Schizosaccharomyces pombe: one gene and its partners. The protein of the gene in region 2 purifies or fractionates together with the protein of the main gene of each other region. This does not show direct contact. Each region holds a gene or a part of one and is shown on either strand. Other genes may lie near its edges.

Region 1 (7,459 bases), on a different chromosome or scaffold from region 2:
TCACGCTTATCTTTCTCTACACAGTTCTCAAACATATTTTGGACTACGAGACTTCCATTTTCCCCGACTGCAACTTCGTGCCATTTTCCTCTCAAGGCATTGTTTACGCGATTCATGACATTAACTGGATACTCGTACCATTGCGTTTCAAACAATTTTTGCCAGACATGGCATGCATAGTGGTGCATTATTGTAACATCAATAGTGAGGAATAACTCGTCCATCATAGCCAGTTTAATATCTTCTGTCACATTATCTATTGCCTTTTGAACAACGTGGCATCCGAAAGGATCTGTTGCCAATTTTAACATATTTCCCAACATGGCAGATCCCATTTGTCGAATTTGTGGGGCAGTGCCATGCTCAAAACATCTTTGAACTAAGAAATTCCCAAAGCGGTTAAGCATCAGAGGATGGATTTGAGATATTATGGAATCAACAATGTTTTGTTTCATATCATAAGAAGAAATTTTCAGCTTCTGTTGAAGGAATATCGAAGATTGCTGATCATTGCTTACAATAATTTTATCAATTATAACATTCCAATCATATACAGCATTCCTTTCAGAGATTTTTCTGTATCGGGCAGCTGGTTCTCTTGAAGAAGTAGACTCGGGGATGACAGATGGGTTCGAGTTATTCATAGTTTCCCATATGGACTGTAAACTGGCGGCACTATTTACTCCTTTCGAGTACGAAGAACTCCGAGAAGAGCTGAGTGAGTATGGCTTTAACGTGCCAGACGTATTCGTACTCAAGTTATTTGTGGATGCCGAGAGATTCACTTCATTCGACCAACTATCACGGTTCTTAACTGTATAAGTTCCAAGATCGACATCCTCTGGAGATAATGGTGTTGACGGTTTAGAATTGCTATATCGAACATTGGTACGGATCGATGGTAATGAGTTATGGGATTTTAGCTTGCAATTGTCCGATTGGAAATTAGCTAACGAAGCCTCATAAGGGTTAAAATTCGAAGAAGATATCCATGGTGAAACTGAAAAACGAAATTTTGGATCTCCGTTTCTATTAGAGTTCAAATTTTCCTCAGAAGAAGATGCAGACAATATATTTTCACCTGTTACGTTTTTGACTGCTGTTCCAAATACAGGAGCATTCGTGGATTTAATACTGTTCGAACTTAATTTTCGAGAATAATTCAACGAACTTGAAACATCAGCCAAAGCAGTTGCCGAAGGAACAGACAAAGAATCCTGCAATGACATGCTCTTAGGAGCTGAAGTTGCGTATACTGCATGCTTTTTAGTCCCAACAACAGGTCGAACTAATTCTACAGAAACAGAGGTAGATGGGTTATGAGCAAATGCATCATTTTGAGAAGAAGCCCCATCAGACATGATATTTGCATTAGACAAGAGCGTTTGTAATTCTTCAATATGTTTCGTTTTGGTACACAAATCTCTTTTCTGATTGTCGATCTCTCGTTGTTGACGTTGAACAACAGTGCTTAATGCATGGAGTTTCTTTGTAATATCGAAATAAGATTCGCTTTCACTAACATTTGAAAGTTCATTTAATTCTGACTTGGAATGCTCCAGCGATTCAGAGATTGAATGATTTGCAGAAGTCGAAGGTAGCCTTAAATCAATTGACTGCATAATAAACTCTATAAATAAAAACTAATATTTAATGGATATGGTTTTTTCTGTTCTTTCGGAAATTGGATATTGGTGGATGAAGAGTTGCTGACACCAGGCTATAAATATCCAACCAAAACAAATAGTGTTTACCAAGGTAAGTTCACTCAGAAAAATAAACAATAACAGAAACAAACAAAATAAACAAAACAAACACCAATCGAAGTAATATTTGAGAAAATAAGTAGATTAAGGACAAGTATATCTAAAAAAATTAAAAGAAAAACAAAATATTTGTTAGTATTTTTACAAAGTAAAAGATCAATAACAGTCTCAAAAAAAAACTTTCTTCACTTTTGAATGACAAAAACAAAAAGAACCAAAAAGTAAAGTCTTTCAAAAGATTACAACCCCAATGAATTATTTATATAGAAAAACAGAGCACACTCAACAATATTTCAACATTGAAATGAAGAAATAAAGCATATTATTTCAAAAGCTTATCAAAGAAGGGGATAAGGGTTTGAGCCATGGTAAATGAAAAAACAAGCTTAGGACCAGTTGTCAACAATTTGGGAGTCAACCCTTTAAAGAACGAGGTAGGTCCTTCGAATTTAAGCATATTTTTCAAAATAGTAAACCCGGATTGAGGGTTATCAAAATTCTTATTTTGAATACGAGTTTTAATAACATCGAGAGGGGCAGAGACAATCAAACTAGCAGAAGCACCAGCGATTGAGGTGAAAAAATTTTGAAAAAAAGTGGCTTGAGAGTAATCCTTTAGTTTAAATATGTACTCCTTAGCAAAAGCGTTACCACCAAAGAGTGCAAAAGAACCTGGGGCATTGCGGGCGGCAGTCCATCCCCATCCACGATACAACGCAAATTTCTCATCAGCGAGAATTCTGAAAACACCGCGACCTTTAAAAGCTGCAGGATTGGTTTGGCGCTTAATTTTCAGGACGTCTAAGGGAAGGAGGAAGATCTCTCCAATTCCAACGATACTGAAAAGTTAGTAAGCTATACACATCTTGAATTCCCTTTTCAACAATCTTAAACATAAGCTTTCAGCTTAGTTAAACAAATATTCGACAGATACATACCTTCCAGCAGTAGCATGCATAATGGCTTTTCCAGATCCCTTTCCAAAAGTTTTATCAAAAGTATGTCTATAATTTTCATTCAAAAAGTCTTTTACCTGAACATGTTAGTAAAGATGAACGAGTATACTGAAGCCAACTGCGATACATTAATTCCGCCATCAAGGCTTGGAAAAAACGTACGCTTTAAACTACCAGTATAAGTACTCTACAACATACAATTGGTTGACCGCTATATTTATAAATACGTTGTACAATTTTGTAGCAAGCAGCATAGCCCAAACCAGGAAAAAGAGAGGTAGCCTTTTGGAGTAGAGGAGCAGAGGCAGCATCTCTGAAAATTACAGTGTTAAGTTGAGTTAAAGAAGTAATTTTTCCATGATTTGACATCAAACGCTTGGAAATTGTATCAACAGGATGAAAGAGTGAAAGTTCGAGAATTCCGGCAGATGCTGATCCCACAATTCGAGCGGTTTGCGACTCTTTGTTTTTCAACTGAACAGGAGCCATCTTTCTCTATCTATTTAAAAATTTAATTAATAACCAAAAAGTTTCGTTGTGTTGAAAAAGAAAAGTTAAAGGATTTTAGTGTAGTGAACTTTTATTGAAATTTTTTTCATTTTTTGATAAGAACTGATAGCCTTCGTTTTAGAGATAAGATGAAATATCGTTGTTCTCAAATAGTGATCTATGTTTTTCTGTTAATATTTTTAAACGTTTGAAATAATTCCAAAAACACAAATCCTATTAATGTAAGTTTGCAAAAAATCTCATGCATATGGCTTTGATGAAACGTGTGGACATACAAAATATCTGAATTCTAACTGTTTCAATTGCTTCAGACGAAAACTTTTAAGAACGTTCTTACTGAAAGTTTCTTTTACTTGTTTCATCGTAAATATAGTCATCGAACAGATATTTAATGAACTTTTGGAATGCGTCTCACGTGTATTTCGGTTTGATTAAGTAGTTAAAAGTGATATACTATGCTTCAAATCGAAATACCAGCATGTAATTTGATATGCAAAGTATTTCTTTAAAAAAAGAGCAGATGGTTTCAAGATATGTCTTCAATATTTAATGTCCATGTCTTTTCAGAATTTATTTGAGTAAATTACGTGCAATTACACGTTTAACATGATTTAAATGTATAGCTCTTCAATCCTTTCTACATATGAGAGGGAGTGTAATATAATTGCCATTTAGTAGCCTAATGGAATGATCATTGTTTAAAGCATTGTTATATTACAGCGCTTAATAGGTAGTTGGGCATTTGAAAGTATCGTAATATTTCTGTAATGAACTATGTCTTAACTTGCGGTAAGTAGGAAACCGCTGCAGCATGTGATGAGAGGTTACACGCTTTCAACCTTTCGTTTGCCATACACAGTTGAAGTTGTGAGAGACAAATTTTTAATATAAACCGGTTATAATGCCTCCTGCAGTGAGCTCTGAAACCTCTACAATCGTCCCACAGCAAGTTGTAAGTAGAAAATTTGAGAAACTTTTTTATTAACCATTGGTTAGATTGTGCATCCATTAGTACTTCTGTCAGCAGTAGATTCTTATAATCGATCTGCCAAGGGAACCAAAAGACGGGTCGTTGGTATTCTATTGGGTCAAAATAATGGCGACGTTGTAAACGTGGCCAATAGTTATGCTATACCATTTGAGGAAGATGAAAAGAATGCATCGGTTTGGTTTTTGGACCATAATTTTATGGAATCAATGAATGAAATGTTTAAAAAAATCAATGCAAATGAAAAATTAGTTGGCTGGTATCATACTGGACCACAACTCCGACCCTCTGATTTGGAAATCAACAACTTACTTAAAAAATACATACCCAATCCCGTTCTTGTCATTATCGATGTAAAGCCCAAATCAGTGGGTCTTCCGACTAATGCCTACTTTGCCATTGATGAAATTGAAGACGACGGCTCTAAGTCCAGCAGAACTTTTGTTCATCTACCCTCCAGTATAGAGGCAGAGGAAGCAGAGGAAATTGGTGTTGAACACTTGTTACGTGATACTCGTGATGCATCCGTTGGTACTTTAGCGACAAGAGTTACCCAGCAGGCACAATCTTTACAAGGCCTTGGGCAGCGTCTCACTGAAATCGCAGATTACTTAAGGAAAGTCGTGGATGGGCAACTACCTATAAATCATGCTATCCTTGCCGAGCTTCAGAGTGTGTTTAATCTTTTGCCTAACATTTTTAGCGGTCCTGTGGTTTCAGAACAGGCCTTGGAATCAGAGGCACAACGTGCTTTCAATGTGAATTCCAATGATCAGTTGATGTCCATTTATATTTCCAGCATCGTGAGGGCCGTGATTGCTCTTCATGATCTTTTGGATTCTTTGGCTGCTAGTAAAGCTATGGAACAGCAGGACATAAAGCCAACTGTTCAAAATGGAGAAGTTTCGGCTAATGCCGAACAAAAGGCTTAATCACTGTATTCATACTATCCATGTCTGGCTTCTATCATTTGTGGACTCCTCTTTCTGAGATTTAACGACTTTATCTAACGTAGGTTTTTTATTTCAATGTCTAAGTATCATAGAGTTTTTATTTATATCTTGTCTTTTCGCAGACAGTTTTGCAGATATTTGTAACCCTCTTAACTTGTAAAAGTTACACGTCGGGTTCGGGTTTATTTGCTTGTATGTTAAAAATGATATGTCTACGTTTGTTAAATTGTATTTACGAAGGATAAAAGTGTAATTTTAAGTTAGTACGAAGAAATTGCATACAAAATATCATATTTTAATTTACAGTGATATGATGGATAGCTTGAGAAAAAACTTTTCATGAAAAGAAATCCTAGCAAACGCCAAGGTGTCAATGTTAAAAAGTAGGCTGACATTATATTAATGAAGTAAAAGGGAATAGGGATACGCGTACAGGTGACCAGCATCTCTTTCTTTGAGCTCTTTGATGAAAGTAGGTTCTAAGGAAGTTAAAAGAAACAGAAAAACAGCAAAAGAAGTAATTCGCATTTTTGGTTTTAATATCCATTTGATTCAAAAAGCTGCCATGCCTCGAAACAGTGAGAACCATTAGGATCTCCTTGGCAGCTAGAAATATCGATAATAGAGCATATAAGTAACGCATCCACACTGTGAAAAAGTTAGTATTTTACGCGAGGATAACTAAATATAATTACTCACATCATGCTGAGGCCGCCCTCTATGGCGCCAATGATAAGCCAAGCAAGGAATCCGCCTAAAAGTCCTACAATGTAGCCATAAAAGACACCATTTTCATGAATGGAATAATTCCACGAAGTAACGCCAACTCCTATAGCGAGGAGGGAACGAGCGGCTAGCAAAGTGTATTTAGAAAAATAGTAGGAACGTCGGCGTAATCCTACTCGGTTCAATTGTTCGATTTGATACAAAGCCTTGGACGCATTCATGTACGGGACTGAGTAAATTGATGCGTATGCTAGGGTAAGAGGAGATGTGACATACGAAGCAGACGTCTTTGAAAACATATAATATACAATACGCGAAACGTGTCTTAGCCATGTGGGTAGGAAATGCAATGGTACTTTGGTGATAACAACTAAAAAGGAAGAAAAGGCACATAAACCATACTGATTGGAAACAACGTGATAGAAAAAGTGAGAAACTAAATTGGTTTTGGTAGCCGAAGACTTAGTATCACGATAAAAAAACCATTGAGAAACAATTGAAGAAATAATAGCGCTACAATTGTGTTAGTAAAAAATCCGGCCAAAGCAATATAATAACATACCATTGAAGAGCATGAAAAAATGTGCACAACCATAAGAAATGAAGTGAATAAAAGGAGGCCAAGACCCAAGAACTTCTCGGCAAAACCCATACAGAACCAACAAGGGTAGAACCGCGCAAAAATAAGCGGGCAAACAATCTTACCCATATAAAGATTAAAACATAAAACGAAAACAAGAAGCTGATGAATATTAAAGTGATTTGAGGAATATCAGCTATAACACGACAAGCAAGCCGAATAATATTAAAGGAAGTTTCAAAATGAATACGACGCCGCCAAACATAATATGAAAGCAGAATGGGTGCAACAAGCAAAATTATCCCAGTTAATAGCATCAACTTTGGTTGAATTGACGTTTCCAAGTGGATCCTAGACGCTTTTAACAAGTAGACAGCAAAAGCAAACATGGTCAATGGGACCGATGCTAGCAGGAAGTACAGAAAACGAGGAATTGCGACAAGACAGAAGAGCCATATAACTGAAAGCATCATACAAATAATCGCATCTTTATGAAATAATGGAAATGCTTTTTGTATTGCTGCGTAAGGAGAAGTGGCTGGAGGAATATTAGGATTTGTCCGCCAAACCATCAGGAAGCTATAGGTAAAGAGAGCCAACGTCAAAAATCCAAATGTTAATCCCCATTTTCGATCTGGAACCTTCTGTTCTGATGGAAGATGGGCATCATAAGGTAATTCCGTATATTCTTCATTTACGCTTTCATGAGATATAGTCTGTGGATTCGGTTGAACACCTAAATTTTCGGAGAAATTTCCATTGTAAATAGAATTCTCTTTAGAAAATAACTCGTTTTCGTTCCTTGAAATATGAGAGTTTGACTGCTCTTGTTCTCGTAATTGCCAATGGATAGACCCAGAATCTATCAAGGAGTTCAAACCATGCAAACTCGAAGACCCGGCGCTCAAATCAGTCTCATGACTATCAATTGAGCTATTTCTGTCTATGCTAACACTCTGAAGATTCGATCTTGAGGTAGG
Region 2 (7,366 bases):
TAACAGAACAAGGCATAAAACGATTTTTTCACAAAGTTCGAAAGGGAATATTGTGTGGTTTTTTTGTAATAGCTCAATTAATTCGCTAGGAAAGTCGGCAGTAACATCATGATAATAATTACAAGTTTGGGAAATGAAATCGATTAATGAACAAAATTCGGAAATGTCTGAAGATGGATTAACAAGAAAAATTTCGCGCGCGGTTTCATAGTGATTCCATTGCTGCAAAAATTCTTCTCTGTAGGATTTTGGATCCTTTTTGACCAGATGTTGTAGATGAGGAAGATTGTTAGGTAAAACAGCAGCAGTGCGTCTTTTCACCATATTAATGTATCTTTGTGAAAATATAAATCATAAACTAGTACAAATAATCAATTAGTGTAGCAATACCAGTAACAGGCGAAAAAAGCCCTTAAAAAAATTTTTAACCGGGATATAATAAACAACCAGCAAGCCCAGGTCTAGCAATATAGACTGCTTATTTTTAATAAGTATTAATCAATTCTATTAAAAAAAGTGATAGACGAGTAAATGGGATATTGCAATCACAATTTATAACTGAAAAATGAAACAAAAAAATTAACGGTAGAAATTTAAGCTAAGAAGCAAATTTTCAATAATACTTATGTAAACTTTAGGAAAACAAACAGAAAGAAAAAAATTCTTGCTTTAAGTGAATCAGACTTGTTTTCCAATTAGTGTTGTTGTGGTTGGTTATAGACAAGCAATATTTTGCACCAGCGATAAAGTACCTGCTCTTTGCCTACTTTATGATTATGAGTTCCCAACAAGAGAAAAAGGATTATGATGAAGAACAATTAAGGTTGATGGAAGAAGTTTGTATCGTTGTAGATGAAAATGATGTCCCTTTAAGATATGGAACGAAAAAGGAGTGTATGTTTGATTGTTGGAGATTTATAATGAAATTGAAGGAAACCCATTCTAACAAGCCTTTTAGGTCATTTGATGGAAAATATAAATAAAGGTCTTTTGCATAGAGCATTCTCTATGTTCATCTTTGATGAGCAAAATCGCCTTTTACTTCAGCAGCGTGCAGAAGAGAAAATTACATTTCCATCCTTATGGACGAATACATGTTGCTCCCACCCATTGGATGTTGCTGGTGAACGTGGTAATACTTTACCTGAAGCTGTTGAAGGTGTTAAGAATGCAGCTCAACGCAAGCTGTTCCATGAATTGGGTATTCAAGCCAAGTATATTCCCAAAGACAAATTTCAGTTTCTTACACGAATCCATTACCTTGCTCCTAGTACTGGTGCTTGGGGAGAGCATGAAAGTATGTGGTTGATCCGTGTTTCTCTTTATTGAACACTTGACTAACGGACATTCTAGTTGACTACATTCTTTTCTTCAAAGGTAAAGTTGAGCTGGATATCAATCCCAATGAAGTTCAAGCCTATAAGTATGTTACTATGGAAGAGTTAAAAGAGATGTTTTCCGATCCTCAATATGGATTCACACCATGGTTCAAACTTATTTGTGAGCATTTTATGTTTAAATGGTGGCAGGATGTAGATCATGCGTCAAAATTCCAAGATACCTTAATTCATCGTTGCTAAAGTCTTTAAATTTTACCAGAGATAAAGAAAAATAGAGCTATGAATTGTGGTATGGCTTCCTTTTTCTCCTTTTGTTGCTCAAAGCATACATTTGTTTGGGTGGAAAAGTTAATATTAGATGTTCCAAATTTCTTTGCACCACACTTCTTCGTTCTTTAAATTTTTGCTTCAGTTTTTTTACTTCATCAATGTCTCCAAGAGCATATTGTAAATACAATTTTCTTATCTTTTTTATTTGTTGCGTAAATGAACCGTTAATTCGTAAATGTATTTTTAAAGGCTGCTCTTAAAAATTTTTTTGTTTGTTTATTAAAAAAATTTGAATGCTATCCTTTCTAATAAATAAAAACTGTAAATTCAAAAATATTAAGGATACAGGGTTATACCTTGTTTTCCACATTGCGACACATGTTTTATATATGTAGTTTATTTATTTATTTATTATTGACACTACATTTACCAACATTAACATCAAGCTTCAATTTCGCACAAAAATTCCCTTCAAATGCTTAAATCTTATACCGTACAAGTTACTTTAATCAGTTTATATTGGAGTACTATTGTTTACGGAAAGTAAAATACATCAAAAAAAATTTGATGCTTGAAAGTAAAAAAGATGCTCAGCATTTTATAAAAGAAACCCCGAATTTTAAAAAAGAATGGGAGCTATATTCTGCATGCAACTATACTAAATAACAGTAATGTGGTAATAGGAACTACCTGGTTTCAATTTTTTGAACTGATAAAATTTCTAATTAATATTTGACAATCGTTAACCTTTTATTCGTACGTAAATAGAATTTATTTGATTTGTTATCATAATTGTAAATCGCGATTCAACCGTGAGAAAAAACTGGAACAATATTTCGCTATTAAAGATATAATAATTGAATTTATGATGTTTCTGAGTAAAAGAAATTTTTTATTTAAAAAAAAGAGTTAATATTAAAAAATTTAATACTTCTTTTAATTTATCATATGTTTTATGAAGATATGAGATGTTTCGCTTTTTTAAGTCTATTTTTAAGCGAAGTAGTCCGTTTATTGACTTTTTCTTTTCGTCAGACTTATATACATAGCTAGATCAAATCTTACAATTGTGGGATTATTAATTGATTAGCTTTCATTTGATTTAGATCTCAAAAAAGATGGGGTTTATTTCATAAATGTTTGGCCTAATATTTCCTAAATTCACTTACTTTCGTAACTTAAAGGTCCTCTGTAACCAAGAAAGTAGAATGTATTATTTTACCATTAATTATTAATTCTTTTACTAATCATAAAACAATAACGCTGATTTTATATGTTAAAAAAAAAAATTTATAAATTTATTTTCAATAATATTTATTCTTGGAACAAAGTCTTTGCAACTTACAATAGTGCTACAATAGAGGCTGATCCATATTTCTTGCGTGATAACTAAAAAAAATTTACATATATATATTATATACAGTTATATAGACTCTTAATAAAGTTTCAGTGAATATGTAAGTGTTGGCACTATATGTGCTTATTCTCAATGGTCATTATGATATGGAGACAAATGGCGACAGCCACATATTAACTTATAATTTTTAATTAAGAAAAATATATAGAACATTCATACTAGGATTGAGACTTTTTACCTAAATCCAAAATGCTTTGCTTAAAAAGTCCAACGTTTTTATATTATAATTAACGAGACTAAAATTACCCACTATTCATCATAAACCACATACGAACTTCACCGCAACGCACTAAACAGCATTAACCACGACGCTAATTGCTTACTAGTTCGAAATCAGCAAAGCGAAACCTACAGATTACCAAGAATTCACCATGTCGGGATATGATCGTGCATTATCCGTTTTTTCACCAGATGGACGCTTGCTTCAAGTAGAATACGGACAAGAAGCAGTCCGCCGTGGTACCACTGCAGTACGTTGTAAACCAGAGTAGAATTGGATGGAATAAATTGCTTACATATATCATTAACAGATTGCTCTTCGAGGAAATGAGTGTATTGTAATAGGTGTTGAACGAAAGAATGTTCCTAAACTTCAAAACGTTTCTAATTTCCAAAAAATTGCTATGGTTGATAACCATGTTTGTCTAGCATTTGCAGGGTTAAATGCCGACGCTAGAATTTTAATTGATAAAGCTCGTGTTGAAGCACAAAACCATAAATTGAATTTGGCAGATCCTGTTTCTATTGAGTATTTAACTCGCTATGTCGCTGGTGTTCAGCAAAAATACACTCAATCTGGTGGTGTACGACCTTTTGGTGTTTCTACCCTTATTGCTGGATTCGACGTTGGTGATAACACTCCACGGGTTTACCAGACAGAGCCTGCTGGTATCTATAATGCATGGTATGTCCGTTATATGTTTCTGTAAAATCAGCATTGCTAGTTTACCTTTATGGATGCTTTTTTTTTTTTTTTTTTGCTTTCTTCCTTCCTAAGACCAATTTGTTAACAAAGAATATAGGAAAGCCACTGCAATCGGCCGTGCTAGTAAGGCTGCTCGTGAATATCTTGAAAAAAATTGGAAAGAAGGACTATCTCGCGACGAGACAATTCACCTCGCCGTTTCCAGTCTTTTAGAAGTAGTTCAAACCGCTTCTGGAAACATTGAGTTGGCCATCATGGATCCAGGCAAAGATGTAGAATTCTTGCATTCCGATAAAATAGACACTATTGTTAAAGAGATTCAAGATGAGAAAGAAGCTGAAGCTGCTCGTAAAAAGAGTGGCCGTTCTGCCCCTGGAGTCTCTACAACTTCTACGATTCAATAATGATACCTCTTTTATTTCATTACATGCAAACCGACTTAAGAATTTCTTGTTTATAAGGTTCATATGTCTTTTCCCTTTTGTTTAGAGAAGCCCTCTTTTCATAATAACATCACTTATGAAAACTCTTTTATTGTAATGATATTTTTTATTTACGGTGTTGATGAAGCTTATTAGGAGAATATGTTTTCGAGTCCTCTTTTATTTTCCTGCAAAAAGATTAGTTAAATGTCAAAGACACAATTACTCATTATTACAAATATTAGCTACAAGAATGTGAGTAGGTATATTAAAAATTATTAATTTTAACAATGCATACTGAAACTTTGGTAGTTACAAAAGGATTCTAGAAATCTTTTTAAACAACATGAATAAACAAGAAGCACTTTTTTACCACAGGTTTGTGATATTTTGAGTAATTGAATAGGGTATAACTGTTAAATGCCTATTCATTATATCCCTTCCACAAACCCTCAATTGAAGGGTTTCTTGTTCGCATTTTTGGCAATTTCCTCTAAAACTTCAACGCCTAAAAAGGTAAAGAATCTAAAAATATTACGAGCTTGAAGACAAAGCACTCAACATTATAACAAAAAAAACTTAAAAAAATTAAAAAATGACTTAGAAGTGTCGCAAATAATAAAGCAGAAAGAAGAAATTTTATGGACTTTAAGATAATTCCAAAAATTTCTTCAGTTTACCACCGACCAAATCAAGATCTTTGCGGTAAATTAAAAATGTGTCATGACCATAAAAACTTTCGTTGGCATCAAGTTCGTGATACACAACCTGCTTATTACCGGCTTTTTCCAGACAGCGAGCGGTCTCACGTTGACATTCAACAGGCATAAGGTTGTCGCTTTCGACACCCATGACCATAACAGGAGTATCCTTAAGGGGAGCCAAACCAGCTATCAAATTCGTTTCTGGATCGGGTTCAGGAGCACGGTCTTCGTTCGCTATCTCCTGATAAGGAACGTCAGGTAATACACTTGTATCTTCATTTAATTTTATTATTTCCTCAGCGGAAACGTCGGCACTTAGGTATTTGTCTAGTTTATGTTGATTCTTCTTTCTGTTCTCCGATAAACTACGCTGATGAGAGGCAGACATATCATGCATGTCCATAGCTTTTGAGATGTATAAAAGTGAGTTAGGGTCGTATTGCAAGCAGAATTTTTCACCAGCGTGATCCAAGTAGGTTTCAATAAGAAAATCGGGACAAAAAGCGGGAGAAACCGAAGGATCAGCACGTCGGTTTCCAAATCGTTGCTCCCACTCAGGACCAGAACGATAAGAAATAGTGGCGACTTCACGAGCTAATTTCATACCGGTGTGAGGAGGGACACCATCATAATAAAAACCGCGATTCCAGTAAGGGTCATTCATGAGGATTTGGCGCTGAGTAAATCTCAATGCAATTGAATAGGGGTGAGAACGAGCTCCACCAGAAATACTAGCGATTCGACCCACGCGATGAGGGGCCAATGCTCCCAAAGTTAAAGATTGCATACCGCCGAGAGAGCTACCAACACTAGCGTATAACTTTTCGATTTTAAGATGGTCCAAAAGAAGAAGCTGCGCTCTAATCATGTCATTTACAGTGATGATTGGAAAGCGAGTGGCATAATGCTTACCATCACCAGGGTCAACAGAAGATGGGCCCGTACTACCGTAGCAACTGCCAAGGACGTTTGTGCAAATAACGAAAAATTTATTGGTATCAACATCTTTACCCGGTCCGATGAACTGCTCCCACCATCCAGGCGCCGTGTTTTCAGGGTGTGAATGAGCATGAGAAGATGCTGATAAACCGGTGTGTAGAAGAATCGCATTAGAATGATCTTTATTCAATGTTCCCCAAGTTTCGTAAGCTATTTCAAATTTCGGCAGAATACCACCATGATCGCATAAGAAGGGTTTGTTGTGGTAAAATTTTTTAAAGCCTGACACAATTTTACCGTAAACAGGCTCAGGACCTGAAGAGAGTGACGGGGATGTGATAGATGCGCTAGGGTCTACAGAGTTAGGACATGCCTGCTGTTTTTGCAGAGACTGCTCGAATTGTCTGCTACGCTCCTGTGCTTGATCTACGCAAGGAAATGACAATTGTGGGTTCGAACTTTGAAAGCGACGAAACACTTGCCAAGATAGTTGTAAACGCTTACTGGAAGCTCTCAACATCCTTGTGAAAAATTTTAAGGTGTAAATTACGCTACTGCGAGTATGAAGGAAAACTGCCAAACCCTCGTATATAAATTTATAGCACAATTACCAAATCAGTCATACCGATGTCGCAATTTTCCTATACCGTTTTTCCATCATTAGGAATATGTGGGGGGAGGATTAGTAAAGTTGTTACCCCCTTAATTTCTTAAATAATTTAAACCGCCGGAGTTGGCAGATTTCGTAAACTCGGATTTACATTTCATATTAGTGTGTAAGCGTGGTATTCTTAAACGCTACATTTAAAAGTGCACATTTTTCGATGTTTGTATCAATTCCTACATTTGAGTTGGTTTGCTTTGGATGGCCAGGCGCTTAACTTGGCAATGTTTTAAAAAAGGTAACATCTGATTTTTTTTTTATAAAAAAAAAAAAAGGAAAAAATAACCAGATAAGGATATACAAAAAGTTCTGTATTAATGTTTAACGTATTTTACTGTATTGGAAATAGGCTTGATTTGTCATGAAAACGCAAATGTTTGAGTTAAGATGATAAAAGACGCGAGTGAAAAAAAATAATATATATCATTTTCCGTTTTTATAAAGGTTCCTTTTCTGTTTTAAGTAAAAATTATGGAGAATTGACAGCGTATTGTTGTGCGTTGCTAATAGAAAGTGGAGAAAGCATAAGTTGGCACGCGTCGATATAAACATGCGTGGATTAACGAGAAACGCTATACGTTCAGCAAAGTACGTTGTACAACGGTAAATTGTATAAGCTATTGTCAAAACGCGTTTTATAAACTACTATTAGAGGACACGCCTGACTGCACTTTTTATAGTAGGG
Region 3 (8,115 bases), on a different chromosome or scaffold from region 2:
CTTACATCAAATAAGCCAGAATGCTCCCGTGTCCACTTATGACTGGCACTAATGGTTTGACCTTTATACTGTACTGGCATTGAAAAACCAGCAAAGGGGACTATGGTAGCTCCTTCTTTTAAATGCAGATCATATAAAGGAGTTCTCTTGAGTGAAGAAGAAGCTGCCGTAGAACTTTGGCGCTTTAAGATTGATAAAGCAGCAGATCTATTCATTATGAATTCAAAAAACCAGTTAAATATTGGAGCAAGTCTTAAACGTTGAAAATAAAAAAGAAACCTTGTTAAACTTCTTAATAAACAATTGTTTGTTGATTCCGTAAACCAACATACGTTAGTGGTTGGCAAAGGTTGAAAGATAGATAGGAATACTTGACAAGTACAATATCATGCTACATCAAAAAATCATATCACGCTAAAATGTCATATAATAAATTAAGTAGCCTCAGTTATACCTTTATGTATTCAACTTCAATGGTTTGACGCTGATCGACGATCCTTACAGGTACATTACAAACAATCAAGGAAACAAAATTTTTAACATGTTGGTAGAAGATGTTTACAAATTCAATAATTGAAACAATTTTTTCTTATTGGGAAGAAGCTTGAAAGACTGGTGTGCAGGTATATCTTAAGGATCTATGAAAAAAAATATATAAGAATCCATCAAAGCAAACGCTCGCAATCTCAAGAGCTTACCAAAATATCATCAATCATACTCCACGATCATGTAAAAAGTTTTAAAAAAAATGTACTCCTAGTCACGAATATGAAATCGTAAAAAAGTAGTATCAGATTCGACCAACAGGATTATTCAAACAGTTCATAAATGCTTTGAGTAAGGAAAGAAAGTAGCTCATAAAAAACGGATGATGGAAAAGAGGTATTACCAAAATAGATGTACTAGAAGGCAACGGAATCAAGCATACAAGCTAACATGGAAGAAATATTGTTGTCTATACATTTCTGAACCTCAGCGTCAAGATGCTTCTTGGGATCTTGTTTACCAACGTATTGAATACGAAGTTGCTCCGGACTTAAAGTCACTTCATTTTGAACACGTTCAGTGTACTGTTCTGACAAGGATTTCATCTTATCAATAGAAGCATGATTTTTTTCCGCAGCAGAATTAAAGTTTTCAAGTAAAAGACCATGTGCCCAAGGCTGTTTGTGTAAATTCAAAAGCATGATCTCTTCAAGCTCAGTTTTTTTGTAATTGATGCGAAGGGAGTAGTAATGTCTTCCTAAACCGTGAATTAAAGCTTGAATGCTAGGTTTGTTGATGTGACCCAAATTGGAAGTTGTTTGTCTGGGTTCCTGACCCATCATTAGGGTAGACGGATTAATCAATCGAAAGGCGTCAATTACCACCTTTCCTTTGACAGATTGAATAGGGTCGACAACAACTGCCACCGCTCTTGGTGTTAATTGCTCAAATGATTGTTGGGTGTTGATATCGACACTAGAAAGCCAACAACCAAAACCCGGGTGAGAATGATACCAACCTACAACCATTTCTGGCCGTCCTGTTTGCTTAAGCATATCCATCATATTTTTTTGGAAAACTGGATCGACTGCTTCTACACTGACACCTGTACCAGATTGAGGCATTGCAAAAACATCAACAACACGTACTGTAAAGTCATCAACGAATTCTCCTAACATCAAACCCATAACTTCCATTGGTGTACCATGTCGCCCATGACGAAGCATTTTTAACAAAGCTAGAGATGAAATGTATACACACTCGGAATTATCAACAAGAGGCTGATCTCCCATCATACCAGTACCCATGCGGGCACCTTGTAACAATCTTTGTAAAGATTCCATCGCGAAAAATATGACTCGTATGTATGTATTGAAATATGAGAGTTTATCAGTATCAGTGGGGTTCCTCTCAAATAACCGCAAATAAAAGTGTAATTGGAGATTAAATGAGAAACTCAGTATAAGTATTTAAATAAAGTTACCAAAACGTTAATGCTGTTCACTGATATTTAGTAAGACGACAAAAACAATCAAAGGTCACTATAATGTGCTTGTTCTTCAAAGGAAGTTCTTTCTATATGTTTCAACCACTATACAAAACGAATATACAAGATTCTATGTCTTTGGTCTCACTTAGGCAGCTAGTATACGTTTACGTGGTAGTTGGCTATAAACAGGTTTTTTCTAGAGACAAATGAATAGCTATAACAATAATGAGGTATAATGCGTATTGTTAAAATAAAATAGTGATTTCATTAGAGTGCGTAATTCATAAAAGAATATGGTAGGTGGATGGAGAAAAACTATGCAGAATAGAGGAGGCATCCATTGCTATTTAAGTATAGCTATTGAGAGAAAAAAGGACGTGTTTTGAAAACTAGCCGGGTCCAATTTTAGGCATGTCAAAATGCTCCGACTGACTTTCCAGTAGTCTATTATACTCATCAATCCTGTCTTTATGTGTTTTCAATCGCTCATTCTTTGCTTTCTGAAGTAATCTTTGTTCCTGAACAGACTCAAAATGTTTCTGTGCTTCCGTCATCGGCATAGCCGAGTCTGTATCCTTTGAGCGAAGCATTTGGTACGTAGATACGCCATTTTCTTCTAAAGGTGATTTATCTCGGGAAGAATGCTCTTGAACTTTTTCAGCAAGTTTTTTAGAATCCTTCTTTTTCTTTTTCAAAGGTTTTTTTTTTACATTTTTCAGTTTTAGAGAACCACCAACGTAGTCCATAGTTCTTGGTAAAGGTAAGTTGGTGTAAGCAAAATGTTTGAACTGTACGATAAGAGGTGAAACAGTTTAATACATTTTACACTAGGAATTGAATTTAAAAATAAAATAAAATAAATATAATTTAATAGTAAAAGTGTAATAAGTAATACAATAAAAGAATTGATGTATGTTGTGCAAGTTTATTAATGGGCTCAATTTAAAAAAAATATGTATATATATGTACAATTTCATTGTACAAGTATACTCTAGAAGCGACGATTATTCATTAAATAAATTATTATTACTTTTTTTTTGGTTAATAATGATACTTGAACCGTTTCTTTTAAGAATTGTAGAAAAAATTGAATATTGAAAAATTGAGTTACTCAATGCTCATCAGAAAAATACGGAAAAACTTATAATCGATATTTTTAAACTGATTTGTTTTTATTAGACTCCTTTTAATTACTTAAAATATTTATTTTTATGAATAAATAAATGCATTTCGACTTGGACTTTAACACATTATACGGTTAAGTACCTTAAAACAGCATAAAAAAATAAATGGCAATGCATCGGGATGGTTTCTCAAATATATTAAGCTTCGGTAAAATGTTGAACCGACATCTAACAAACTCCTTACGCTTACTATTAGCTTATAGTCTGTTATTTAAGATTAACGTACCCTTAATAGAAGTGACATTGACGTTGGACGCGACGCTGATACCTAACCACAGCAAACCTCTTTTTAATGAAAGGAAACAATTGAATTGATTACATTACAATTACTATGAAGGTAAATATATTTTACTTTTTATTTGTCTTACTAAACCCTGTTTTTGTGACCAGTTTCTTGAGCTTGCCGATTTAGATACAGTCAATAATGCCTTATCATTTGATGCCGATGATTGTCGCATACGCGGAAAGTGCGAGCTCTATACAACCAAGGTAAATTTAACTTGTAAGCTTGGTTAGTCTGGTAAAGGGAAAATTGTACATTGGTTCTTGAATTTGACATATGCTTTTAATAATGATCCTCTTTTCTTGCGTGGTCAAATCACTAAGTTGAACAATTTTGGTTCTTTTTGGTCTCTTGTACAAGATCAGCTAATTATATAATCATTGTTTTTTTTTGTGATTATTTATTTAGTTTCTTTACGTTTCAAATCTGAAACCAAAATGATTACGATTGTTGTTTACCAAATGGAGTACCGCGTCTGAGTGTCTGTTTTTAGATTCGGGAGCATTCTGCTTTATTAACTTACCAAGACATGAATATACTGATATATAAAATGTGCTAACAATTTTATAGAGTACAAATTCTGACAAGAAACTCTTTAAAGCTATAGAGAATCGGTGTCAGGAGGATCTATTTGCATTATCGAGTAGTAAATCACCGGAATATGCTTTCAGCCTAACTCAGCAAAGTCCATTTGGGCCTCTTGATCAGTCCTCTTCTCGTCGTACCTTTATGTACATTGTCGCTACTCTTAATGCCTCTTATCCCGATCATGATTTTAGTAGCCTCCAACCAACAGATTTTTACAAAGAGCCTTCACTATCTCGTGTTGTAGATTCCGTTAATTCTACACTTAATAACATTGGTCGTGGTAGATTGAGTGTGAATGGAATTTGGGAAATTATCGACCGTCATATCAACCTGTCTGATTGCAGCGTTTATTCCTATACTCCAGATAGCGACAGCGATCCTTACGGCGATGATGCTTTAATATGGGGGATGTCCTACTTTTTTTTTAACAAAAATATGAAGCGCATGCTTTATTTATCACTTCATGGTTTGGGCAAGGAAGTCTCGGGTCGGAATCGTTATGGAAATGACGATGATTCTGTGTTTACACCACTTGCGGACGATGCAGAGCCAAGCGATTTTGATGACGATTGGGTTGCTAACATGGATGATTAATTTTTTGGTTATTTGGGAAGTAATGGTTTCTGCTACTTTCTCTTTTTCTCTCTTTACATTTTGTTCAACTCGCAAACTAAATTGCACCGTGCTCATTTTATTATTTCAGAATCATGACTTTTCGAAATTTTCTTGTTTTTTCTAATTGTAAATACATGAAACCTCACCTTTCTTTAATATCTCCCTGTTAATTAGTTTATTTCAAATTATTTATAGCAACCCTTTCTTTTTTGCATTTTTGAAAAAAAAAATATGCCCCCAGCATTTTAGGTACTTCTTGTTTTTTGTTTTTTATCCTTTAAGGAACCTATTTTTTCACATGTGATTTGTACGTTAAGATTTTCCAGACTGTACTACGGTTTCTACTCTCTTGCAACACACGTGTTTATACATAATAGATTAAAAAATTTCCAACAACTGTTTCATAGGTTTGTACATGCAATTTGACCTTAGAGGAAAATTTTTTAATCTGTCCTCATTAATCATCTGAGCCTAACTATCTTTAAACGTTCACATCAAGTTCCCGAATATTTGAAGCCTTATTAAGCATCATCTTGACATAGCATAATGATGTATTCAGTTATTCAATTTAAAAATTACCTTTTCTTTGAAAATACTTCATTTACAACAAATAAAAGCTATGCATTTACTTAAAAGATAAAGAATTAATTTCATAGTAGTTGTATTTAAGGAATTCAAATTACCCTAAGAATTGATGCTTTCCTATCATTTTACCCGAACATGAGCTCTAAGTTGAGTAGTAAAAAATAGAAATGTTGAGTGCATAATTCAAATGTTGAATACTTGTTCTACCGTGCTTCATGATAGACGTTTACTTAACCATTTCCATCATGAAAAGAAATAAATAATAAAGAGAAAAAAGGAAGCATTGATGAAATAACCACAAAAGATTCTTTAAAAAGGACATTTCCGATATTCGCAGACGAAACAAAATAATGCGTAAAGCGAAATGTCTAAAGAGTTATGATAACGATACACATCTAAACCGACGAACAGAAAACGTATTTGCAAGACAGTTGAGCGATTACTTAGTTAATGAATTAAATCAAAACAAGCTTTCTGTTTTTATCACTTGCCGTAAGTGCTGAAGAATGAAGTGGTAACTTGAAATTAAAATTGATCAACCACATAAATTAGACGCTGATAGACAAAGCCGCAGATTAGTAAGAGCGAAAACGCAGCCGAGAAAATGTCACAGGAAACTAGGATTGATTGGGAGTCGTTAAAGCCCCATATATGATGCAAATGAAATCTATAGTAAATTTAGTACACTTTTTAACCGAGAAGTAGGACCCAATGTGAAGAAAAAGATCAAACCTATAGCCATAGGGCTTGACGCAACTTATCCAAAACGCGCGCGTCTTCGCTACAGGCAACTTTCTCGACAAGAATATCATAAGGAGCGAGAAACTTTGGTGCTTGAACAAGCGGTGGACCCGCGTCTGGATACAGTCCATATGGAATAGTGATACGTGAAAGGTTAACATCACTACTTGGCGTGACTAATGAAGGATCAGGGATAGGCGAAGAATAGGAAATAAGGTGAAGTTTATGATTTAAGGAGGTAGTAATACTAAAGGACTGCTTAATTAAGCCGTTCGGTTTGTAATGCAACCCCCGTAGGTTCTCATCATCAACCGACTCTTCATCACTCAAGCTCGCGGCTCCACTGTCCTCATTGCTGTAAGCATTTAGGGAACTATTACCAGTCGTATCTGCAGAGGGAGAGCGTTTAAGGGAACCATCGGTGGAAAGACCGTGATGGTAAGGTTTACGTTTACCCTCCATTTCTCGGTAGGTTAAGAATGAACCGCTGACACGAGAAGCACTCCATGATTTACCATCAGTCCAACGGCGCATTCCAGCTTCCCGTTCATCCCACACAAAAACACTGCCTGCTCGTATCAAGCTTCTTTCATGGTCGGACAATCGACGCTGGACGCGTGGAAGAAGACCAATTCGACAGGCCTCGAAAAGGATAATCGCATCCAACGGGGTCTTAATGATACCTGTATAAGTTTGCATGACGAAAGGCAAAGCCGATCAGATCGTAGTTTGAAGATGAAGTAAAATCAGAAAATAGCTGTCACGAAGATTCAAAAAAAAAAGCGCACTGGATTAGTTACCAATGCAAAGATCAAAAGAATCAACTAACGAAGCTCGGATTAAAGAGAAATAAAATAAATAGTTTTATAAATATAAGTAGAAGATAAGTTGACTGTGCGTGTATATATACAGCTTGACCGATAAATGGGTAGTCGAGTAAGTATACAGGAATGGAGACCTTCAATAAATTATGCAATTCAGTCCGAACGAACGCAAGATCTTAGGAAATTCAAGCAGGGAAAAATTAAATCTAGATATTATCTTCAAAGAAAATTCAGTTGCAAGACTAGCCGATTTGATTACCTTTTAGTACTTTCTAAAAGAAAATGAAACAATTAAACGGCAGGGAGAAGCAAAATTCAGAAACAATGAAGGAAAGTAAAAATTATTTAATAAATGATTTTCTTTCTTTTTTTAGGGAGTTATAATAAATATTATTATTCGCGGTTTCAACTGATCGTCAAAAAAACACCCAAAAAAAACAGACTTGACCAAAAAAACTTCCAATCAAGTATTAAATCTTTACAAACCCAATAGCTCACTTGTATGTTAAAAGCAAAGAAATTTAAATTCAGCTTTTTTAACAATGCTCAAGGTTGAAATTTGGCAATAAGAAACGTCACAAATAGTTAAAAATGGAAACAGTCGAAAAAATCAAGATAGATCAAATTTTTTTCTCAATGAAAAAATTAAACGAATCCGTTCACTAAAATAGAACACCTTTCTACACCGGTTCTCTAGTTGTGGTAAAAAAAGGTCCCTAAAAGTTCTTTGCAAAGGAAAAAGCTAATGTACGACAAGGCAAAGTAGCTGTTCTTTGGTTTACAATGCTTCAATCATACAACCGGTACAACTTCACTTGCTGTTAGTTTATACACAAATTTGCTTAATTTAATTTTGTTGTCCAACCTTTTTATTCGTCAAAAAGACGCTATTCGAAGGTGACAACGTTTTGCTGCTTAATGCAACACTGCGGTTGGTGAAGGAAAAGTTGAGTCAAGTAGGTTGAAAGATAGTTTATATGTGCGAGGCTTCGGTTATGTTAGCGAGTTAAATTTTTAAAACTCAAAAAAAACCTAATACGGTAAATATTCCGTAAATCCCTTACCCAACGCTAATCCCGATAGTTTTAGGCTGGTCTAACAATTTAATAAATATAATTATTTAGTTTCCGCTGCTAGATAAGATTCAAGGTAAACTTTTTCCCCAACACTGTTGATACGCCTTTAATGATCAACAACAAGATTACTTTGATTATCAAGTACAAAGTACAATGGAATATATTTTCAATCCAACAACTGCGTTCAAAACCAAAACCTGCCTTTCCAATATTTGAATTTTGTTATTCTTTAGTAGGGACCGGT
Region 4 (7,790 bases), on a different chromosome or scaffold from region 2:
TTAATGAAGCTTCTTCCAAAAAAGGCAGTGACTTCGATAAAGCTCAAGCTCCTTTAATTTCAACTTCACGCTGAACTTAAAGGCAGTATTTGCCGTTTAATTACAGGATTTTACTGAAAATCAGCAAATCGTAGTCTTTTGATGTTCTTTTCTTTTGTGTGGAGGTTGGTTTGCTTTGCTTCTTCACCCCTCTTAAAAAGCGTCGGATTTGGTCCAAGCTACTACACTAAACCTCCTTATTTACAATGAAGGAAAGCAAAGGAACAAAGGTTGATGAATACATTAATCCAATACTAATGGATTTCTGTGCGAAAAGACTCAGTCTAGATTAGCGAGAAATGTTAGGAAAATATCCTCGCATGGCTCAATTAAGAAAACTGATATCATTTTGCCCAAACTCGGCTTTACAGGTGCTACCAGAAGCGTTTTTGCGGAAAAAGTAGCCGACGATTTCCGTCTTGAGCGCTGATGTATTTGGTCTATTTGTACAGCTTTATGGAACAAATCATAAACAGAGTTTAGTATAAAAATAATGCCATAAACAAGGTTAGAGTGTCTGAAGGCTTTGAAAAGCTCACAATCTCTGAGTAGGTAAAAATACTATTGAAACTGGAAATACGGACTCAATATGATGCTTAGTAGAAAAAATTTATATATATGCAAGAAATTTTTTATTTTGACATAAGTACACAGAATCACCATTTTATTCAAAAAAGCACATGCTTGCCGTATGAAATGAAGTAAATTAAATTTCCTTTAGCCGTGCGGATGAAAATGCCATTTAGTTATAGTCATCATCCTTAGAACCGGCAACGATAATATCGTTAACTTTGAGTACCATTCTGCAAAGCTGAGTAGCAAGAAGCAGTTGTTGTTTCTTTCCAATAAGAGGATCAATAACAAACTGCTTTCTCATATCATTACTTCCGGTCTGCAAACAGTCAATACCAAGATATGCCTTGTTTTCTTTTACATGACGAGCTTTAACTGCTGTAAGAGCTTCGATGGACGAAAGGCCACTGTTCTCCGCGAGGGCAAGAGGAATCGTGTCCAAAGCATCTGCAAATGCACCCATGGAATATTGATCAATACCAGGAATCTTTTCAGCTTCTTTGGTGACAGCCAAAGAGCAAGAAATCTCAGCAGCACCACCACCATACACTACTCTGTTGTCACGTATCAGATTACGAACGACACAGAGTGCATCATGCAAAGCACGTTTCGCCTCATCGACAATCATCTTATTGCTTCCTCGTACAAAAACGGTTACGGCTCGAGAGTTGGCACACTTTTCTATAACTAAAATCTTATCACGAGTCGTACCAAACGACACCTCTCTCACTATACCGGCTGAACCAAGCTTATCAGACGAAAGATCCTCAAATCGGGGCACAATTCGTCCATTTGTAGCAATAGCAATCAATTCGATTTCGGGACCTCCCACCCAACGTACAGCCGGTAAATTATTTTGAAGAAGTAGATGGTTTGCTTCATCATCAAAACCCCATTGACATATAACAAGGTTAGCTCCTGCGTCCTTTACATGCTTAATCATTTCCTGAAATTTTTCCTTCTCATAAGCTTGAAGGGCTTCAAATTCACTCACTGATGTTATGTCCAACTTATGCTTAGTTTTTGGCTTTGGTGGTTCAAAAGGGCAGGTTAAAATAGCAATCTTTGCATTTTCAATACGATGAGGCATTTGTGGATGCGACATGTCTTTGTCCACCACAACACCCTTTACAAGCTTTGTATCATCCACTGAACCACCAACCTTGCCATCTACTTTAATGAGTTCAAAATCAACATCTTTTCTCTGCAAATCAGCAACAGAAAGGACCGCGTCCACAGCAATGTTTGCAAAGTGATCATGAGCTTTGGAAACCACTTTACTACCCAAACTAGTCTTAGCAGAACGAAATAAATTAGTAGTGTTTTCGGGACTAAAGTCGACAACATCTGAAATAGCATCTAAATGTTTAACAGCCACCTGGCATGCCTTTTCGTAACCATCTGCAATCCTTATAGGATGTATACCTTTGTCTATAAGTGCCTCGGCCTGCTCCAGTAATGCACCTGCTAGTACAACAACACCAGTAGTTCCATCCCCAATTTCATCATCTTGAGATTTAGACAACTGAACTAACAGCTTTGCAATTTGATGTTCAACCTCCATTTGGTCGAGGATTGTAGCACCGTCATTGGTAACCGTAATCTCTCCATCTGGAGAGATTAAAATTTTATCCAGTCCACGGGGACCCAAAGAAGTACGCACAATATTAGCAACTGTTTTGGTAGCTAATATGTGACTTTTTACAGCATCAATTCCATGCAATCTTCTCTTCTTTTCCTGGTCACGTACTAAAATGAAAGGATTTCCTTGATCGTCACGGACCATAACAGCGTTATCTAGACCGGCCATTTTGCTCATCTTGTTATTGTGAACTGTCGATGCAAATGAATTTCAAGTGATAAAACTGAACGCTACACTAACCCAAATCCTTGAAATACTTTTGAACGATTTCACAAAGAACCTTATCTCTTACTTCCCTTTAAATCGTTGAAATAACTTGAGGTTCAAGCTTAGGGTGTATTCTTTAGAATGTCGTTGAAAGCACGTCTAATATGTTGCGGCCCTTCAGCATTTTACGAACTTCTATAGAAGAAATAAGCACTATATTTCACTAATGTAAGCTACGCAGTTTGGTATCTGATTTAAGGATACGTAGAACTGCGGTGAGTTTTCCTTGTGGTCTATTATATTACAATACACAGGTTGTATAAGTAGCAACTGAGTATAGGTATTGTATTAACTGAGTTATAATGTTACCTATCACTAATATAGCTCATAACTGAACTGAGGAACGAGGTTCAGTTGTAACGCTATTTATAATATTTCTAAATAGTTGTTATCAACGGGTATCTATGTATATAGACGGATAGTTACCCGTGATTATCAATAAACGGATCTTAGCTAGTATTCCAACATATGACATATAGTGATACGCAACGTAGTGTATCATAGCGTAGTGTACTATTGCTGACAACTAAAGTATTTTGCGAGCGTGCGTTACAACTCTGTAATCATAAGAAATCAACTCGCAATATTAGTCTCAATTGTACACTCTCCAACAACCCACATATCGAAATGGAACAGAAACCGGAAGTTGATTACTCAGAGAAGTTTGCAGAGTTACAAAAAAGTTTAAATAACCTTAATACCATAGACATCGTACGTAAAAATCAAAATTTTGACTAATCTCTAACTTGTAATTGTAGGATGCGAACCTCGAGAAGCTTTTGATTTTTGAGAAGCAAGTTCGTCAGGCTTCTGACACCAGCACGAATACGAAAGTATTAATATACATTGCTGATTTGCTCTTTCGAGCTGGTGATTTCCAAGGCTTAAACGAACAGTTGGTTAGTCTCTTTAAAAAGCATGGCCAACTGAAACAATCGATGACAAGTTTAGTCCAACATGTAATGACCTATCTTCCTGGAATTGACGATTTAAAAACAAAAATTAATTTGATTGAAACATTGCGTACTATTACTGATGGAAAGATATATGTGGAAGTAGAAAGGGCACGTCTTACACAACTGCTTTCCCAGATTAAAGAAGAGCAAGGTGACATCAAATCTGCCCAGGAGATCTTGTGTAATGAACCAGTAGAGACTTACGGATCTTTTGATTTGAAGGAAAAAGTTGCATTCATTTTGGATCAAGTTAGATTATTCTTACTGAGGTCTGATTACTACATGGCATCTACTTACACGAAGAAAATAAATGTTAAGTTTTTTGAAAAGGAAGACGTCCAGTCTTTAAAACTTAAGTATTATGAGCAAAAAATCCGAATTGGTTTGCACGACGATGCATATCTTGATGTTTGTAAATATTATCGAGCAGTTTATGACACCGCCGTGGTTCAAGAGGACCCCGAGAAATGGAAAGAAATATTAGAAAATGTCGTTTGCTTTGCCTTGCTTACTCCTTATGATAACGAGCAGGCAGATCTTCTTCACCGAATTAATGCTGACCATAAACTAAATTCTCTTCCTTTACTCCAACAATTGGTTAAGTGCTTTATTGTCAATGAACTAATGAGATGGCCCAAAATTGCCGAAATCTATGGAAGTGCTTTAAGGAGTAATCCTGTTTTTGCTGAAAATGATGAAAAAGGTGAGAAACGTTGGTCTGAACTTCGTAAGCGAGTCATCGAACACAATATTCGTGTAGTCGCAAACTATTATTCCCGCATTCATTGCAGTCGTCTAGGAGTGTTGTTGGATATGAGTCCTTCCGAAACAGAACAATTTCTTTGCGATCTTATTGCAAAGCATCATTTCTATGCCAAGATTGATCGCCCAGCTCAAGTCATTTCATTCAAGAAATCTCAAAATGTGCAAGAGCAATTGAATGAGTGGGGTTCCAATATTACTGAACTTCTTGGAAAATTGGAAAAGGTAAGACAGCTTATTATAAAAGAAGAAATGATGAATTCTATTCAACAGGCGGTAGCCAAATAAATTGTTCCGTCTCTATTTCATTTCGTTACTTTCATGACTTTGTCATTTAAATAATATACTATTGGTTCAAAGGCCTTCAACTTTTTTTACGAGAATACAATAGTTTTAATGTCGAATTGCAACCTCGGAGAAAGTTATTCTAGTAAGTTTGTAGTGATTTTCGTTGTTATTTGTCTCGTAACTAGAAGGTTAACTTGATGAATTATTTTAAATAAATTATTGTAGTTCACTCAATATGTAGTCCCTTAATTTTTATTTCAGTTGAGTTTAGTTAAAAGATTGCCATTGGTATCATATCTGGCCTCAAAAAAAGTATAGCTTAGAAGAATATCGTCAATATCCTTCATATTTGGATCATCAGCAAATTCTGGATCTATAAAGAAAAACACAGGCAAGTCTACTTTTTCATGAGCATCTAGCTTTTGCTCTTCAAAGCAAAAGCATGCAACCTTTGAGAAGTAAACAGCGGCTTGACCTGGTACTATATTATAAGTTGCAACTCCTACTATGTCATGGTCGGACGTATTTTCAGCAGTATAAAACCCTAGAGCAGTCTCGCCTGGAAGAACATATATTTCACGCTGCTGGGGCCAAAGCTTCCAGCTAAGGTTTCCTGCAACGTCGCCATTGAAAGTAACTCTGATTCTTTTATTGTCTTTACGAGGAACCATTCTTTCTGCATTCATACGACTTTGGTCGGTATTAAGAGTGCCACCATAACCTGTTTTCGAACAGAAAAGACGATATAAAGGTACAGCCGCATATGTCAAGCCCAACGCAAAAATGGAAATTGCAACCAGATAATAGATAGTGGTCCTTTGATTATAGTGGAATTTATCTCTCGAATATTGTCGTGAATATTTCCTGGTACCAGAGATGCAATTGTAACAGCTAAATGAAGTAAAAATACAAGGGAAACGATGTGAATTAAAGTCTGCAAATCGAGAAAAAGCTTTATGACGATTAGTCGAATAGAATCGTTTTCCGACAAAAATAGGATCTGCAGTTGTATTTCTTTCAACTTTGGGTTTATTATATGAGGGGGGATTGATTGAATAGGTAGAAGAAGCATCTTTTAAATGTTTAGTAATTTTACTACTTGGAGAAGTACTTTGAACTTTGCCCTCTAACGGAAACAAGTCGCCCCAAGCACTTTTCCTAGCTAATCGATAAGCTAGTTTACCTTGTGATTTAGGAACAATATTCCTTCTAAGCCGAGCATCGCTATCACAGACATCAATTATGACATGTCCATCTCGCTTCAGTGGAGGTCGAATTATACGTGGCCAGTTTTTAAGAGTTGGAGATGTAACATTCACATTTTCTAGTAAATCCTCATCATTCTTGAACCTTTGTGTGGTATTATTAAGCGGTCTAGTTATACCCTTTTGAATAACAACATAACTGTAATGAGAGCGATCCGAGGATCGACGATGAGAACGAGGGACATATAGACGGGAAAATGGGGATAGGAAAAAATGTTGTTTGAAAGAACAAATATTTGCTCTTACCCCATTTTCTATATCAATGGGGCAGCGACCATCGTGGGGACAGGGTGCTACAATATGGGCATTGAATTGTTTATCAGAAGTATTTTTACTTTTTTGCAATAGAAATGTTCTAGCTCTTTGAATCAAACTAAAGCCACGCTTTGTGCCTCGCTCGCAGAGCACCAAAAGACCACCATCATTTGACACGAGACTCCAAAGCGAACGAAGATAATCAAAGAGTTCTTTCTCCGATTTCATTTCAAGAAGCTTGTTAGATGCAATAACTAGAGTGTATGAATCCTTTTTACCCAATGGTAGACGGTTAAGCGTAACAGGGCTAGTTGGATTCGGCGAAGTTGACGGGTAAATGTTATGGTGAATATCATATATGATTTTTTTCAAAAATGGGTTCTCCTCAACAATTGAAACTGAATTAGGTGTGGGAAAGACTGAATAACTAGCTAGAGCACCAATACCTGGACCTTTACCGCAATCCAGTATATGTTGAGACTTGCAAGACACATCACTGTTTACAATTTTCAAGTCAGTCAATACGCTGTATAGAGAAGCATATTGATACGGCATAGACTGATGAATATAAGCTAAAACTTGGGGATCTGTCATAGTCCGAGTAGATTCATCTTTGAATGGCGCAGACAATGGAAGCTGAGATTCCGTAGCCAAATCTTTTTTAATATCATTAATAAATTTTTTAATTTGTCCTTTTTCGCTCTTTTTCAATAAATCGTCCACATATAGATTAAATTTTGTATGCAAACTAATATCACCACTTTTCTTTTGATCCTTTACCAAAAAGTCGAGTAAACTGGAAGCTTCTGGACGATGTGAAGAGATCAATTCGTTTTTATAATCAGAAAAGTTGTTTTGAACAGCTTGAAAATTTGCATTATACCACCTAATGGTAGTGGTTGTTCCATATGGTATGAGACATCGCTGATTTTGAAAAGTAAAGCAATTCCGTAAATTATAAAGAAACAGAATTTTATATCTGCATGTTAGAATGGGCATATGTGCTGCTCAAAACACCAATTCACCAATGAACAATGGGATTTGGGGATAAAGCACTGATCTGTATATTGTGTAGAGTAAGTGCCTGATTAAGTGGCCGCAGATGGTGTTACTTGCGTTGACAGAAGAATGAATAGTACAATTTCCTACATATCTATATGTTTTATGTTTATTAAATTAGTTCAAGGATAGGCAATTCTGTCTGAGTGAATATTCTCCCAGTTTTAGCTTCTTATACACTTCAAAAAAATGCAAAACTTTGAACTTCTTTGAAAATAAGAACAAGTAATAAATTTTATGATAGTAAAGGAATTATCAAGAAATAGCTAAAATTAGTTTTAGCATTACACTTGATCAAGATAGACTCTTCACATTGATAGTTCTACAGATACCTCTTTAACCTTACCATTCTATTATACTAGGGTAATCTTCGATTTACGAAACATTCCTTGTTAACTAACTACAAACGAAAAGTTGCCGGAAAAAAACAGCCTACATTCCTTGAGTATTTTCATGAAAATTCGGTAATTCTTTTCCATTTGGTTTATATGAGAAGTTTGCAATTGTACAATAATAATTCAAAATGCCCTCGAAAAGAAAAAGAAATCCTTTACAATATCAGACTTCAGGATCATTAGATGAGGAAACAAATCAACGCAGCGCTTTTCCACAAATCGACAACAATAGTGCTTCAGAATCTTTGGAATATGATATACCACTTGATGGTTTAGATTATTTAGCAAC

The links.
Region 1: the proteins of pre6 (region 2) and rpn8 purify together in Schizosaccharomyces pombe (affinity purification with mass spectrometry, with the first as the bait; one study listed by BioGRID). This does not show direct contact.
Region 3: the proteins of pre6 (region 2) and rpn11 purify together in Schizosaccharomyces pombe (affinity purification with mass spectrometry; 2 studies listed by BioGRID). This does not show direct contact.
Region 4: the proteins of pre6 (region 2) and rpn501 purify together in Schizosaccharomyces pombe (affinity purification with mass spectrometry, with the first as the bait; one study listed by BioGRID). This does not show direct contact.

The regions. Positions count from the first base shown.
Region 1 is NC_003421.2:386,614-394,072, forward strand, and holds rpn8 (proteasome regulatory subunit Rpn8), read left to right. Parts: upstream 1-4,080; 5' UTR 4,081-4,133; coding exon 4,134-4,184; exon of another isoform or gene 4,185-4,228; coding exon 4,229-5,152; 3' UTR 5,153-5,479; downstream 5,480-7,459. Other genes in the region: meiotic pumilio family RNA-binding protein Mpf2, read right to left, coding at 1-1,622; ggc1 (guanine nucleotide transporter), read right to left, coding at 2,089-2,605, 2,705-2,799, 2,921-3,211; ctl1 (choline transmembrane transporter family protein), read right to left, coding at 5,710-5,821, 5,873-6,412, 6,462-7,459. UniProt on the Schizosaccharomyces pombe protein: Acts as a regulatory subunit of the 26S proteasome which is involved in the ATP-dependent degradation of ubiquitinated proteins.
Region 2 is NC_003423.3:406,098-413,463, forward strand, and holds pre6 (20S proteasome complex subunit alpha 4 Pre6), read left to right. Parts: upstream 1-3,377; 5' UTR 3,378-3,398; coding exon 3,399-3,497; exon of another isoform or gene 3,498-3,557; coding exon 3,558-3,931; exon of another isoform or gene 3,932-3,960; intron 3,961-4,049; coding exon 4,050-4,356; 3' UTR 4,357-4,669; downstream 4,670-7,366. Other genes in the region: SDA1 family protein, read right to left, coding at 1-324; isopentenyl-diphosphate delta-isomerase Idi1, read left to right, coding at 771-894, 959-1,297, 1,354-1,580; cys2 (homoserine O-acetyltransferase), read right to left, coding at 5,023-6,537.
Region 3 is NC_003424.3:3,004,693-3,012,807, reverse strand, and holds rpn11 (19S proteasome regulatory subunit, ubiquitin-specific protease subunit Rpn11), read right to left. Parts: upstream 2,163-8,115; 5' UTR 1,830-2,162; coding exon 903-1,829; 3' UTR 501-902; downstream 1-500. Other genes in the region: glycine decarboxylase T subunit gcv1, read right to left, coding at 1-215; SPOM_SPAC31G5.21 (FAM32A family protein), read right to left, coding at 2,365-2,721; RNA polymerase III-inhibiting protein Maf1, read left to right, coding at 3,491-3,496, 3,550-3,648, 4,013-4,624; cAMP-independent regulatory protein Pac2, read right to left, coding at 5,963-6,670. UniProt on the Schizosaccharomyces pombe protein: Acts as a regulatory subunit of the 26 proteasome which is involved in the ATP-dependent degradation of ubiquitinated proteins.
Region 4 is NC_003424.3:1,263,121-1,270,910, forward strand, and holds rpn501 (19S proteasome regulatory subunit Rpn501), read left to right. Parts: upstream 1-3,148; coding exon 3,149-3,232; intron 3,233-3,279; coding exon 3,280-4,527; 3' UTR 4,528-4,660; downstream 4,661-7,790. Other genes in the region: chaperonin-containing T-complex epsilon subunit Cct5, read right to left, coding at 782-2,422; rsm22-cox11 tandem protein cox1101, read right to left, coding at 4,785-7,046; yip12 (SMN complex subunit Yip12/Gem2), read left to right, coding at 7,630-7,790. UniProt on the Schizosaccharomyces pombe protein: Acts as a regulatory subunit of the 26S proteasome which is involved in the ATP-dependent degradation of ubiquitinated proteins. Required for proper proteasome assembly.